2 linked regions of the Alligator mississippiensis genome follow. The protein of the gene in region 1 interacts with the protein of each later gene in a pairwise test. Links are inferred from orthologs where the notes say so. Each region holds a gene or a part of one and is shown on either strand. Other genes may lie near its edges.

Region 1 (7,189 bases):
CTGGCAGCTCTGTGCATCTCCCTGGGAGAATGCAAGGTGGGACTTTGCATTCATTTCTCACAACTGGCTTTTGAGGACCTTCTCCACAGATGTCCAGTGTCGCTGTTCTAGAAAATGTCCCAACTGCATTTGCCATTTGAAATGTTTGAGGTCAGGAAGGAATTTTCCTCCATGGTCAGACTGGTATGGACTTGGTGTTGTGAGGGGTGGGGGGTGCCTTCTTCTGTAACGGGGTGGGGCATGGCCTTTTCCCTGGGATCTCTTTGAGTGTGTATATTAACAACCTTTTATAGAAGCAGGACTTTGACCACCATTGTTCCCCCTGCTTTACCTGTGGCAGGTTGGGGTGTGATGTTTTGTATTGCATTAGGGTTGATGATAGTTTTAGGAAGAGTTTAAATTATGGATTTGTATACGATGGGTTAGGTAGGGCCAGTCCTGCCTCAAGCAGGGGGTTGGACCAGATGTGACCTCTGGAGGTCCCTTCCAGCCTGACTTCGTGAAGATACCCCAGGCAGGATTCTCATATTACTCTAGTTTTACCTTCAGTGGGAAGGAAGCTTGGAAAAGCTCTCAGACAGGTTGAAGTGAACACCAAGAAAAACCTAGTCACTGGCTTCCCCTCCCCCCCCCTTTCCCCTTCTGTCTTCATTTGTCTGGATTCTCTGAAAATCAGGGAAGGATACAAGGAAAATTATTTCCCTTTACTGATACAATTTTTGTTAGGTGGAACATCAGCATAATTCCTGCGTACATCCTGTCCAGCCTTCTCAACTTGCATTCTCTGCCTTGAAGTCTCCATGGTTCAGCATGGTACCTAAGTTTTGTGTCGCTGGAGCCATGCTGTGTATCAGTTAGAGACCTGCCAAAGGTTGATGTCCCCCCACAGTCGTTTCTTCCACACTTAGCACCATCTTCATATACAGCAAGCAGCTTGTATTCACACACACTTTAAGTTGGCCAGTGATCTCTCTCGTTTGTGACCATGCTGGTGGTGCAAATGCTACATTGGAAACAAGCTTCAGTTGTGTCACTGCGTTATCTGGGGGATGGCGGTGGAGCAATATAACATGTGATGCCATCAGATGTAACTGAGGCCTTCCTGTCCTTCCAGTGGGCAGACATAGGCAGCCCCCCTTTCTTTTACCTATGGCAAATTAGGGTGTTCTTGGTGGTTTCGGGCTTTGTGCCTGGTAGTTGGGTGAGTAGGTTGTTTGTGCAGTTTTTATTTGGAATGAGCTAGACAGATGTGCACGGTATGGTTTAGATAGGGCTGATCCTCCCTTGAGCAGGGGTCGGCCTAGACGACATCCTGAGATGCCTTCCAAACCTAGTCTTTGATTTCTCAAACTCTGTTAACACCCTAATAACAGATGATTGCCATGCAAAGTAGGAATATACTGTATTCTCTCACCCAGAATATAAAGCACACTTGTTTTTGAAAGGTAGAATAAGGCGGGGTGAGTAGCAGTAGTAGTAAGAAACAGTAGCAGCAGCAAGGGATCCCAACCTGTTCATAGCTCCCTGAGTTGCCTGCAGATTTTACTTTTACTTTTGCCTTTAACTGGGCAGAAACTGCTCTTACTGTATTTATCACATATAATGTGCAGTGCAATTTACAGCAGCTTGTTCTTGTGGGTGAACCATGCATAGTATATGTGAGAAAATATGGTATTTGTGTTATACTTAACCAGCATGTTGCTTCCTTCAACTGGCTGAAAGTGGCCCAGTTTTCCAGACTGCACAGATGAGCAGGAATGAATGCCTAGGTGAAGGATAAACTATTAAAGCAAACCCATTTGTTTTTCCGCTTTAATTATTAGCTCCTCATGCCATTAATTTGCAAAGCAATTGGTGCTATAGTAAGGTATTTCTCTGCATTTTAACTTTATTCAGATGAAACTTGGAGGCTTATGCCTTGCTTCATTTGTGTGCATGTAAAACATTCCTAATTTTTAATGCTAACAGGCTCTTCTGATCAGCTCCAGGGGAGGCGTAGCATCTCGTAGAAAGAGACTTTCTACTATAAAGTTCTGTTCAGAGCTCCACCTCTTAGCAGACCTTTTGCTCTCATTAGTCTTGATAGCAAGGGTTGTTTTGGAGCTAATCAACACAGTTGAATCCACTTAGGAATTGCCACCGTATCGATGCAAATCTGACGAGTCTCCTCTCTCTCTCTCTCTCTCCTCTACCCTCCAAGGGTTTACAGCATCATAGCTCCTTTCACAACCACACTTCCAAGCATAGGAGCATTTCCCAAGTGGCAGTGTCACCCAGACTGGTGCCCGTGCCAGTGAAGTCATAGGCTGCACACAGAGAATCCACTCTGGGCACATCTGCTTAATTACAGTGCCTGGCGTCTTGTCCCGAAGCTCAAGGCGGGGTTAGGATGTACTATAGCCCCGTAAACATTTGTGTTTCAGGTGAGTGGCGTCCCTGATACGACTCCACCTTGGAATGACATAACCAGTCTCCCTTTCAAGACCTTGACCTGAAGTGGGGCTGTCATCCTAGCCCCCGGTGCTCTTGGCTACCAAGCCTACCCACACGCCAGGGTAGGAGAAAGGAGGAGGAGTTTTTCCTCACAACAGAACAGTGATTCTTCTAAGCAAGGTCCTTCTAAAGGTGCCACACACTATCAGCACTTAGTTGTGCAAACACCCGCACATGATTCGCAAGATAAAACAGAGACATCCAGTAGGAATCCTGAGGATCCAAAACATCCTGTCGTGGTCTTTCTGACTTCTTTACAATAGAAGAATTGCTCTATTTTTTTTTCATGGTCAAGAAATAAGATGCATCCTCTTGGCTTCTCTCAACCCATGATGGCAGATGCCAGGGAGAGTAACGCATAAGAGAGCGATCACTCAAGGTATACCTGGTACTTTGGTCTCCCTCAGAATCATCCACTCCTGGCACCATTGATAGATGGGTTGCTGGACTAGATGGAGCAGTGGTCTCAGCTAGAACGGCACCTCTTATGATCGAAAGCTAGCTGGCATCTTCCAAGGGGGGGCCTTGATTCTAATGAGGTTGAGAACCACTGCAGTAGAAAAGCAATAATGTTACACTAGGATGTCTTATGGAGGCTTCTGTTTTATCCAGGGAAGCCCAAACAAGTTCCTCTGAGCCATATGCCAGTCTATTGGGACATTAGTGATCAGGCAACATTTTCAGGAGCAGCTACATACAGCTAAGCATACATAAGTTCGCTCACTACCAGATAGGGACGAATCCAACCCCTCAGAGTTCATCCTCATGGTCAAGGCAAATTCCAGACTCTCACCGTTATGTCTTGGTGTAGAGGGGTTTTATACCTTTCAGGTTCAAATGTCTGTATTCCCACGCATTTCTCTTTGAGAGGGTGATCTCTTGGCCGGTAGAGTAGAGAGCAGGGAAACTTTCCTAGGGTCACCTTATTAGCATTGGGTGCGATTGCTGGTCTGTGCATCTCAGCTCCTTTGAAACTGTCCCTCGCCAGGTGCCTTCTCTCTCATTCTAATCATTGTCCTTCAGACTGACCTGTTTCTAGGAGCAGAGGATCTGGGAAGAGGAAGGTAGTGTGCTCCCAGCACAGGACAAAGGGGTGAGGGGTGTTCAAGACGTACTGCTTTTTGTGGTCCAGGCCAACCAGAACATCGAAGCTCAGCAGGCAGCGGCTGGACCTTTGGCCTTTTCAGGCTCATCTAGTAGTCACTTTAATTGGGGTGATTTGCAGCTGTCTCATTTGGATCTGTACCATATGTCATAGCATCCCCCTCGGTGTCTAGCACAGCATGCCTGAGATCCTCTTCACCCACCCCTGGTCGCTTTGCACACTTCAGGTATGGAGGCCCCCACCTTGTCGTTTGCTATCGGTCACAGCTGCTCGAAAAGTCCCGCTGTACATTGCAGTTTCTTGTGTCCAGTGGCTTTTCTGTCCTGTGACTGGCAGTGCTGTGCATGTCTGCCAAGGCTGGTGTCTTGGGCCCTCAGTTTCTCCCTCCCTTCTAGACCCTGAGAGCATGTTGCCTGTTTCGCTGTTAACCTTGTAACTACACTGTGAATCTCTCCCTCTCTCTCAAATCTCTGGCCTCAGAGGGGACTGCGTCTCCCCTTTCTGATAAGGCATCTTCGCCGGCGGATAGTGAGCCCCATGCCCTAACGAACATGAGGGTGGAACTAGCAGTAGACGGCAAAACGATGGTGGATAGCTTCCATGGGCCTAGCATGAATTCTGGAGTGGAGGCAACCTCTGTGGGTTCCCCAGAAGGCTCCCCCTTTTCCATCGTAGCGGAGCCCCGTTCTCACGGCCCAGCCATTCCAGTTGGTTTCCAAGAGCAAACCTATTCCACAAGCGATGTTCAGAGGGGGGATGACCAAGCAGAGCAGAAGGACCAAGGCGCTATGGACCAAAACAAGCCTGATGCCAGCAGCGAATCCAAATTTACTTTCTTGATGGAGCAAAAACAAGGTATTGAGCAGCCCGCTCCCAAAGACTCCATCTACTCCTCGGCCCAGCCTGGTGGTGAGACTGTGCTGGAAAAGGATTCTCCCGAGTCCCCGTTCGAGGTCATCCTGGATAAAGCAGCATTCGACAAGGAGTACAAGGCCTCGTTCATTAGTGAAGCCAACGATCTCGGTGGTCCCTGGGTGGTGCATGGTGAGAGAGAGCAGCTCACTGACATTCCCGAGGATCGCGTCTGCGAGTTTGAAGCCAAACCACGGCGGGGCAGCAGCGGCAGCTTCCCAATGGGCGCTGGCCTCTCTCGTCAGTCTTCCTGCACCACAGCTGCCCTGGAAGAGGTGTCCAAGTGCGTGCGCGAGATGCATACCTTCACGAATGAGCTGTTGACCTGGGACTTGATTCCCAAGGTGGAGTCTGCCAACAAGGTCCCTGAGTTGGATCTGTCAGAGTTGCCTTCCAAGGATGCCATAGATAGTCCTGCCCAGCCAACAGGAGAAGAGAAGGAAGCATTTAAAGCAGCCTCCCCTTCTCCCATCAGCATCAGGGTGTCCGCAGACTTGTCGGAGTACCAGTTCGAGCCACACTCTCCACGAGGCCAAGTTGTGGATCTGAAGACCTCCGGACCTGCCACTATCGATATGAAGGCTGATGTTGCTTGGACAGGCACCAGCCTGGTTGAAACAGCAGATGCAGACAGCTCGGGAGAATCTGACGACACGGTGATTGAGGACATGACCGCAGATCTGACCTTCAGAAGTGGCAAGTTCATCCTCCAGCCTGCAGAGAATGGCGCAGCTCCAGCTGGAAAGCCAGCTATCAGCCCTATCACCACTGGCGAAACCAGAGACTGGATCATTGCCGATCATGAAGAGGCCCCCACAGAGCTGCCTGAAAAGGGCATGATGCCCACCAGGACACCAGAGGACCACCGAGGATTCATCGATGACTTTGAAACACTCCAGGCTCACCCCGATATCAGGGGGAGTCCAGTATCTGAAGCAACACTTCTCAAGTCTTCCACTCTGGACTTTACACCCGTAGCTGCACAGCAAGTGAGCCGCACCAATTCAGTTGGCGTTGTGAAGCCACTTCAAGCTGGTGGAAAGCCTGATGTTCCTTCTAAAGAGCCTATACATGCACCAAGTGGAAAAGCCCCCTCACATATTACAGAAGGCCAACAGCGTCCAAACACCTTGAACGGGGAGAGCTTTGTGGACTTCATGAGAGAGTGCCTGAAGTCCAAAGGCAGTGGCGACTCCCCAGAGGACCTCACAGAAAACTTCTTGGAGGCTGAAGCCGTAGCTTCAAAAACTGCACCTTGCAGAGACAGAGCATATTGGTCAGAGGTGAAGGAGAGTCGTGAACACACTGAGAGAGACCTAACCTACAGCGGAGGCAGTCTCCAGAAATCCCCTTTCTCTCCAGGGTCCCCCACCACAGCCCAAGATCTGGAGCAGGAGCGACTAACGATCAAGGCCCTCAAAGAGCTAGGTGGAGAAGTAAATGAGAAGACATCTCCCACATCAAGCAAAGTCTCCCCGGTAGAAGGAAGAAGGGCAGCCTATGACCCCAACACTGGGACACCCCCTCAGAAACCCACCTTGGAGAAGAGGCCACTGTGTGTCCAACAGCCTATGGACCCCAAGCCAACTCCCATCCCTTGTGTTGGCACCGATGACAAAACCCCCAAAGAGCCCATCTGCGTTGGGCCGGCCCAGCCTCCTGTAGATCATGCTCTAGTGAGACTCCTGACTAAGTTTTCAGGTAAACCGCTCATTAGAAGTACAGTATCTCATTTGTTTGTCCAATGTTTCTCCTGATGCTACAGGTAGATATCTTAGGTCTCTGAAGGAAACCATCGAACGTGTTTCCTTCCTTAATCTTGAGCTTGCAAGAGTTCTTCCACTGTTCCTCCAGTGTCTTCAGCCCTCTCTATGGTATCTGAGCACCTTCTGTGTAAAATCTCTTGACCTTGATTGAGTTGGGGCATGCCTCTCTTGCTGGGCCGTCCGTGACTTTGTTGGGGGAGAGAAGGGGACCTTGTAGGGAGGTCTTTGGTAATAAAAGACCCTCGTATCCCTACTCCATTTACTGCCAAACCAGTCGATACAACCATCAAGAAATAGCAAATTCTCCATGTCACAGACATCCCTATTAATAACTCGCAGTTCCCGAGGCTTCCGAAATCACGTGTCGGGCTTAAAAAAAAATTGACTCTCTTCAGCAAACACAAGCGTTGAATTTATTGTAAGAGGTTATTGTGAGTGTTTCTCTGCAGAAGATAAAGGGTTGTTGGTGGGGGGAGCGGGTTGAAAACGGTCCTGAATAGAAGCTTTTGTTCACACTCCCCACATGTTTATGCTGGAAAGATGAATTTCAGGCCTCATCTTCAAAGCTTTTTCATGTTTGGACACACAATAATAAGGGGGTTTTCTTTTGCTGGGGGGGAAGAGATTCAGGCACAGATTATATAAGGTTCAATTGGCGTCCAGTCAGCATGGAACCGGTGACACAACGAAGGCTTCTGTTAGCGCAAGGAGCCGTGGGCTGGGCTGAAGACCTCTTGAGCGACAGCAAACAAAATGCAGAGAAGGCTAACGGCATGCTGGGGTGCATTAATAGGAGCATTGCCAACAGATCAAGGGAAGGGATTACTCCCCTCTATTCAGCACTGGGGAGGCACATCTGGAGTCCTGTGTCTTGTTTTGGGCCCCCCGCTACAGGACAGATGTGGACAAATCG
Region 2 (7,851 bases), on another chromosome or scaffold:
AATTCTCCATGGATAAAGCTATAACCAGGTCACACTTTGAGTTCTGCTTTTAGATCTCCAATAACTTCATCTAGAAACCTGATATTGGCTTGAAAAATCTCCAGATTTATTCTGAGGTCAAAGAATTGTCATCTTGTTACCATAATTTATCTTGAGTCAATTTTTAATAGGCAGTGTAACTGTCATATAAAGTAAAATTTTACAATCTTTCTTGCTTTCTAAACCAAGGTTAGCTTATGTACTATTTCCCACTTTCGAACCACAGAAAACAAATTTTGTACAGTGCATAATATAACCAGAAAAGATCATTTAAAAACTGAATTCTCATGGTCAAAATTCATCAGGAAACATTATGCCAAGAGTACTGTTGCTCGCACTTTTTTAAAATAGGAACACACATTTAACTCTATACACACATACACTACATATAAATTTCTTGTTTTTAAAAAGTTTCTAAATTGTTTTCTGTTTTCTAGGGATCACACACAACTGTTTTAGTAAAAAGACATTAAAAATATTAACAGCTGCTTAAATAACCAAATCAATTAATGTTTTGTTCTTTAAACACAACTGCTTGAAGGAATGGAGGATGGTGCAGGAGACCAGAGAAGTGAAGGATGAATTCAGAGTACTGAAGTTTGAAGGTTGCAGGGTCAGCTCTGACTGGGAATGAGTGTGAGAAAGCAGGGTAGATATGCACATTTATAGACTAAGAGACCACAAGCTTTTGTCACCCCAAGTTCACTTCATCAGATGGAAAGAGAATGAAACAGAAGGTATTAAGACAGGGATGAACAGAAGAGGAGCAAGGGACAAGCATATCCAGAACGGAGTCAACAGTATTGGTAAATATACAGGAAGGAGGTGGACAGGGCAAGAAACAGGCAAGGACAGGAAAAAAAACAGACATTAAAGGGAATCATGGAGAACCTGAGTATAGCATGGAGGCAGTTATTATCAGGGTACAAAATAACAATGAGTGAGGGAAATCAAGGACTGGGGCAAAGTATAAATGGGGCAGGTTACAGGAAAAGCCTACTTTCAACCTTAACTCTTTTTTAATTTGGGGGGGGTGGGGGGGGCGGCAGGGGGTTGTTTGTTTTTATTTGGACCTGTAGCTAGAAGCTGTACAGTAAAGTTTGAAAAATTTTCCTTTTTCGTAGTCAGGTGTTTTGGGGTTTTTTTTGGTTCTAGTATCTGTTTCATTAATGTTTTTTTCTTTAATCACTTTGAGGGATTCTTTGAACTACAGCCCTGATCCCACAACTTATGCACAGCCCAGTCAGTTTTGATGAGCTTTGCTCAGGCATGCTCATATTCCACACCCTCCCTCCCAAATGCAGGAGCAGAGCTGTAAATTATTTAGCACATTTAAGGATGAAATCATATTCAAGTTTAATGAAATCTTATCAAACCATTCTATTAACACATCCCAGAGAAGATAGATGGTAAAGGAAGCAAAGTATATTATGCTTTCTATATTTTAAATGAATCTCATTTGTTGCTATGACTATTAATATACAGGATACAAATTAAGATTTAACTAGAAACACTGTAATAGTTAAGAGAGCCAAGATAAACAAGTCATGTTACCAGTGGACAAAACTTTTGATCATAGTCTAATTGTAAGTGAATTTGACAGCAGCAATAAGAGAGAGAAAAATTACTTTAAATTAATTTCAAACATAAAAAAATAGATAAAACATCTAAAGCATCCTAAAATATTTGTAGCTTCCACTGTGCTAACATAATTTCCCCATTCCCTCAACATTCTGCAAATTTGCATCACGGTTGCAATTAATGTATGCTAAGTACCTTACTATTAATCTGCATGATTATTTCCAAAGGTATATATGTACAACCAGAGGTGGAGGGGAGGGGCACAGTGTTCACTGAAGCACTTGCATCCCCTCTGATTCCTGTTCCACCCGAAGTTTAAAACTAACTGCCTGGCAGTCACAGCAGCATTTCTAGTCAGGCACTCTGAGGAAGTCAATGGACTTCATACTTCATAATCTATCTGATTCCTTTTAACTTCCTTCTAAATGCTTCATTCCACAGGTGTTAATGACCCTTTCTTCCTTTTAAGAGTCTTGATGTTCCACCCATCAAGCTAGTCTTTCTTCTGCAATTCGGCTGTCTGTTAGCTGTTCCGGGTCATGAAGCTCCTATTTCACAGCACTGCAGATTGCTTTTAGAATCATAAAAAGTCAGGGATGGAAGGGCCCTTTGAGGTCATCTAGTCCAACCCCTTTCTCAAATCAGGATTGTCCCCTTCTAGATCATCCCACCCAAGGCTTTGTCTAGCCAGGTCTTAAAAGGCTCCAAGGATGGCGATTCCACCATGTCTCTGGGTAGCCTGTTTCAGTGCTTTACTACCCTCGTAGTGAAAAAATTCTTCCTAATATATAACCTAAACTGTCCTTGTTCCCTTCCATTGTTCCTTGTTCTGTCATCTGCCACCACTGAGAACAGTCTAGCTCCATCCTTTTTGAAACCCCACTTCAGGTAGCTGCTATTAAATCCCCTCTCAGTCTTCTCTTCTCCAAATTAAATAAACCCAGTTCCCTCAGCCTCTCCTCAGAAGTCATGTGTCCCAGGCCTCTAACAATTTTGGTTGCCCTTTGCTGGACTCTCTCCAATTTGTCCACATCCTTTCTGCAGTGTGCAGGGGGGGGGGGGGGGGAGGCGCGGCAGCAACACTAGATACAGTACTCCAGGTGTGGCCTGAATAGAGGGGAAGAATGACTTCCCTGGATTTGCTGGAAGTGCAGCCCAGTATGCTGTTAGCCTTCTTCACAACAGGGGCACACTGTTGGCTCGTATTCAGCTTATTGTCTCATGAGCTTTTAACTCATTCCAATGAAGTTACTTTGGTTTTTGCTTCAATCTTAAACTGAATAATATAGGCCTAGACCCCCCAGCCTATTGACAAAGCTTTTATTTTTATGTGGAAAAAAATATGGTCTATTTTATATGTGCTGACCCACCTCAGCATCTGCACCAGCCTGTTCAAAATCCTTACATCCGTCCACGTGCCTGACACATTTTCCATTCACTGTAATCATCAGGAGCCGTGAGTTCATGTGAAAGAGTCTACTTGAAGGCAGGGCAGGGCAGCACCTTGCAGGCAAACTCATTCAGAAACGGAGAAGGGTTCGTAAGTAATGGTCAGCTTCACATAATGAAGCTGCTATCTGGTCACAGCCTCTCATAAGTGAACTGAGTTTAAGTTTGAGTCATGAATGCTTATGCATTTCTGAACGAGTCTGTCCCCAAAGTGCTACCCAGCCCCACCTGCACACCCCACCTTGCCCCTCTCCAATGAGACTGCGCACCCCAAGCAAGCTGAGGGCAGACCTGCGCCTTAAGAAGTAGAGATAATACAGGTGAGCCAGGGACAGAGCCTGCCCTCGCACAGGCATGTGTGGGTCCCAGTGCAGCCATCAGCCTTGCATGCCTTAGCCCTGCCCAGGCGCTGCAAGGATTGGGCTCCTGGGCCCTCCATGGCTGGAGGCAGCCACGCGAGCTGATGCAGCCCAAGCACCTTGAGCTGATGCTGCACCACTGTTGCCAGGTGTACAATAATTATCATATTTGTATATCTTCAACCCTTGTGCAACATACAACCAATAATGGTGAAAGTGTTCAAAATGTACAATACATTTGAAGCAGCTAATTGATGCAGCATATGCAAAACCCAAGCCACTGTCAGGGAGTCTTAACCAATTTTTGGGCTTGCTGTCAGCACTTTCTTATGACAGCTTGCCTCAAAATAAAGAAAAGCTTCAACTTGAATGACCCAGGTCTTACTCATCACTGGCGGGTTACAGCGAATTAAAGTAAAGACCACAACGACTTTCTGGCATACTGATTTGCGTGTTTTTTCAGTGTACAATAGTTGTTTGGCAAATACGATCATTTTGAGCTTCCAATTCGATAATTTTATATTTAAGAGGTGGCAGCTCTGCGCCCCCGCCGAGGCGCGGCTCTTGGTTGGGTCCAGACAAGCCTCGGCACCAACGGGCACCGGGCCGGGGACGAGAGGCGGCGGGAAGAGGCCGCGCGGAGGCAGGGCCCGGGGACACCGCTGCCGGGCGAAGGGGCGGCCGAGGCGGGGGGGCGGGGCTCCCGTGTCTTCGCCCGGGAGCTACAGACGAGGCAACGCCCAGAACACGGCTGGGGACGCAGGGCCCACCCGCTTGCCGGCCACGTTACCTGTGACCGCAGGAAGTATCGCTTGCCCCGATGCCTCAGCTGTGAGCCGGCGGCACCTTCCCTCAGCCGGCCGGCTCGGACCGCCCCTTCCTGCGGGAGGCGTGACGCCGCGGCCGCCATGTTTGTTAAGGGAAAGACCGCAGACTAGGCAGGCACCAGCTTCCCGACACCTGCGCTAGGGTGGGGGAACGGGGAATCTCTCCTGCCTGGAGAAGAGCTACGAAGCCGGGCAAGGTAGCAGACAGCGGTCTCTGTGAGGAGAGGCAGGAAATCGGGCCCCACCACACTGAAGACCGGAAAAGTCACATTCAGTTCCAGGCAGTGGAGCCAAGATGGCGGCTGCCAGTTCCCCTCCCAGTGTAACTGCTTTCCCGCGGTGGACTGCGTCTCCCAGCATGCTCAGCTCCAGGACGGAGAAAGACTGCAACTCCCAAGATGCACCGAGGCGTCCCGCCCTCGGCTGCCTTCGCGAAACTACAAGGCCCGGCGGGCAGCACGGCGCGGGCCGTGACACGGGGCGGGGGCGCGGCGCGGCGCGGCGCGGGCCAGGGGGGGCTGGTAAATAGTGGCACGGAGCGACCTCCCTGTGTAAGATGGCGGCGGCGGCGCTCTGAGCGGCGGCAGCGACTCCGGTGTTCGCTGCGGGCTGGGGCCGCACGGCGCAGAGGCGGGAGCCAAGCCAAGCCGCGGCGGGTGCAGCCAGGTCGGGCGCGGGACCGCGCAGGTGGAGCCAGTGGCTGCGGCGGGAGGCGGCTGCGGTGAGCGGGGGCCGCGCCGCGATTCCCTGCTCGGTGGCGGCGGCGGGTCAGGCCCCCATGTCGGACAACCAGAGCTGGAACTCGTCCGGCTCCGAGGAGGACCCCGAGACCGAGTCCGGGCCGCCTGTTGAGCTCTGCGGCGTCCTCAGCAAGGTAGGGACGGCGCCGCCCGCTTGGCGCTGCCCTCCCCGCGGCCGGGCGGGCACGTTGGGGTAGCCGGCGGGCGTCGGGCACGGGGAGGGCTCGGGCTGAGGATGCTTCTAGCGCCCGTCCTGAGAGCGGCGAAGTCTCCGCTCGCCCCCACCCCCAAATGGGGAGTCATCGCCGCCCGCACGAATGTCTGCCCCGGCGCCCCCTCCCCTCCCCTCCCCTCCCCTCCCGGGCCGGCACGGGCGGAGCCGCGCATCAGGTCCGCGAGCGGAGTTGGGCATGCGGTGGTCGCCCGGGGCTCGGCTCGCCCGGGGAAAATGCTGCTCATTTTTCTTTCTCTCATTTTGTTTCTTTTTTTTTCTGGTATGGTCTCTCTCTCTCTCTCTCTCTCTCTCTTATTCTCCCCCCCCTCCCCCCCCCAAGCAGCATGTGATGCTCGCACACAAATCACTTCCCATAAGTAGGGAGACGTCAAAGAGGAGTGGCACAACCTTTAGCCCAAGTATCAAAACAGTGCAATCAAACCACCCCCTGCCGCAGGAGATGTGGGGGGTGCGAGAGGAGGAAAATGGCACTGATGCTGCTTTTTTCCCAATTCTTGCTGCTGCTTTTTTTTCTGCTTTCCATGGGGGGAGCCAAACCTTTTCCTTTTGGTTTGGAAATGTAAGGAGACGGCTCACAACTGCAGGCAAAATGAGATTAAATAGGCTTTTAATAGATTAGGAGTGTTTTAAGGGCTAACTGTTGAGTGAACGGCTTCAGCAACAGAGAGGTGCTGGTGTTTTCTAGAGAAAGTAATATCATTATACACCCAGGTGGCTGAGTTCAGCATTTCTGTCCTGCTTTGCCACAAGGATGATTTTTAAGTCTGCACAGAATGCCGAGGTCATGGGATACTGAGATCATGAGCCACTCTTGTATACGAAGAAACCTATTGTAACTTAACCAGATGTTATGCTTTTTTGTAAGGGAGTGTATGAGCTCTTTCCAACTGGAAAATGTTTCTTAGCTCAGATGGGAGGAGTGCTCAAAAAGAGAGCGGCCTTGGCTCTTGTTTGGGAAATCTTGTATTTGGTATTGGGGGAGGGGACAGGAGACATTTCACAATGGTTTTCATTCATGGGAGGTTTTGGTACAGTAATGTGCTTTGCTGCCCTGCAACATTACCTCCTTATTAGGTGATTCAGGTCTTTAGGTAGAAAAATTATGTTTGTGGTGTGCTGGCCACTTGAATATTGGCAAATGACATGCTGCATGAAGTTCTATGTTAGCTTGTAATGGTGGGACTATCAAGTACGTGAAATCCCAAGGTGTCTTCCCAAACTTCTGTGCCATATTGGAAGGTAGTATGTGGTTGTCTTTCCTGTTTGTGGTGATTATGCTGATTTTCACAGACTGCTTTGCCTTTCCTGTTTATCCCCACTGTGTTCTCACATGGGGGTTTCATCTGAATTGTGAAGCATGATGAAACCTGTTGTAGTGAACATGCAGGAAGGCATTATGGCTGGCTTATATTCACTTGGTTTTTTTGCTGGTTTGTTTGCTGCTTAATTCATGTCTTCAGAAATATGAGAGCGAAATGAATTCAACTGAACTGATTGCCTAATGGCCTGTTTAGTATGCAAATGTTCTTATTTTTAAAGGCTCTTTCATATGGAACTATACTCCATACCAGCAAGAGCAGGTTCCAACTATTTATTGTGTTTCAGGTGCTCCAAGATATTTCTTTTCATTTTCCCCTCACCTGCCCTGCTCCCTGTGGGGAGAGCAGGTAGGATCTCAGTATTGGGAAAGGAGGAGCTGATTTATAAATAAAGGGCTTAGTGTTTGTTTTTTTTTTTTATGCTTAAATCTGTACACATGTTCTTACTGACTTGAATGTTTTTAAATATCTGCAATGCCCTTCTTGTAGTTCATTTTTTTTGTTTACCTTTTAAAGGTGGACACAAACTAGAAAAATTTGAATACAATTATTTAAACAGGTAGTCTTTCCTTTACAAGATTCCCCCCCCCCCCTTTTTTTTTTTGCTTACCTAAAACTGTATTGCAGGGTCAATTAATTAAATCAACCATTTAAAAAATATATTTAAATTAGGTTTTGTTTTTTTAAAGCATCTTAACAAAAAAAAATTTTTTTTAAATACAATTAAATAAAAAAAAATCTAATGTCAAGATAGCTTTAATTTAAGATCTCTTAAAGCTCAAAGAGATCATCATGGAATAGGAATTAACTTTAATTATATATTATTTGAGATGATATGTTTATATAACCTTTCTAGAAAAGTTTTATAAATAGGTCACAACAGGCCATGGACTATATTGGGGGTCCAATCTTACGGGGTTTTTGTTGGCTCCTCTGTAGATTAATAAAGATTAAAGAAACCCACTCTCCTGGGACTCAGTGCTCAGTCTAGAAGATCCCATTAAGCATCTCTGTGATGCTTAGTTTCAGTTGTCAAACTGTGGATTTGTCTCCAGAGATAATATCCTTGTTAACAGCAGTATATAGAGATGAGAGAGAACAGACGTGAATGATTACCTACTCTTCAGTCTTGTCTCTGCAAGTTTGTATACAGAGTCAAGTCCTTATCTTTCTCTAAAAGTGCAAAGCTTCAAGATGTTAAATGAATAAAGGATATCAACAAGAATGCACATTTGTAGAAAACGGCAATTAAATTGAGGCTTCCTGACCAGTGATTTTAAATTGTGATTTAAGTCATGATTA

What was found. The genes of interacting proteins can lie anywhere in the genome.
Region 2: the proteins of RTN3 (region 1) and CERT1 interact in binary tests that used the Homo sapiens proteins (3 or more experiments, as listed by UniProt). The link is inferred for Alligator mississippiensis from reciprocal best matches to the Homo sapiens genes RTN3 and CERT1.

Annotation. Positions count from the first base shown.
Region 1 is NC_081838.1:4,720,899-4,728,087, reverse strand, and holds the start of RTN3 (reticulon-3), read left to right. Parts: upstream 1-4,114; 5' UTR 4,115-4,149; coding exon 4,150-6,211; intron 6,212-7,189. UniProt on the Homo sapiens protein: May be involved in membrane trafficking in the early secretory pathway. Inhibits BACE1 activity and amyloid precursor protein processing. May induce caspase-8 cascade and apoptosis.
Region 2 is NC_081826.1:254,408,371-254,416,221, reverse strand, and holds the start of CERT1 (ceramide transfer protein), read left to right. Parts: upstream 1-4,832; 5' UTR 4,833-5,033; coding exon 5,034-5,129; intron 5,130-7,851. UniProt on the Homo sapiens protein: Shelters ceramides and diacylglycerol lipids inside its START domain and mediates the intracellular trafficking of ceramides and diacylglycerol lipids in a non-vesicular manner.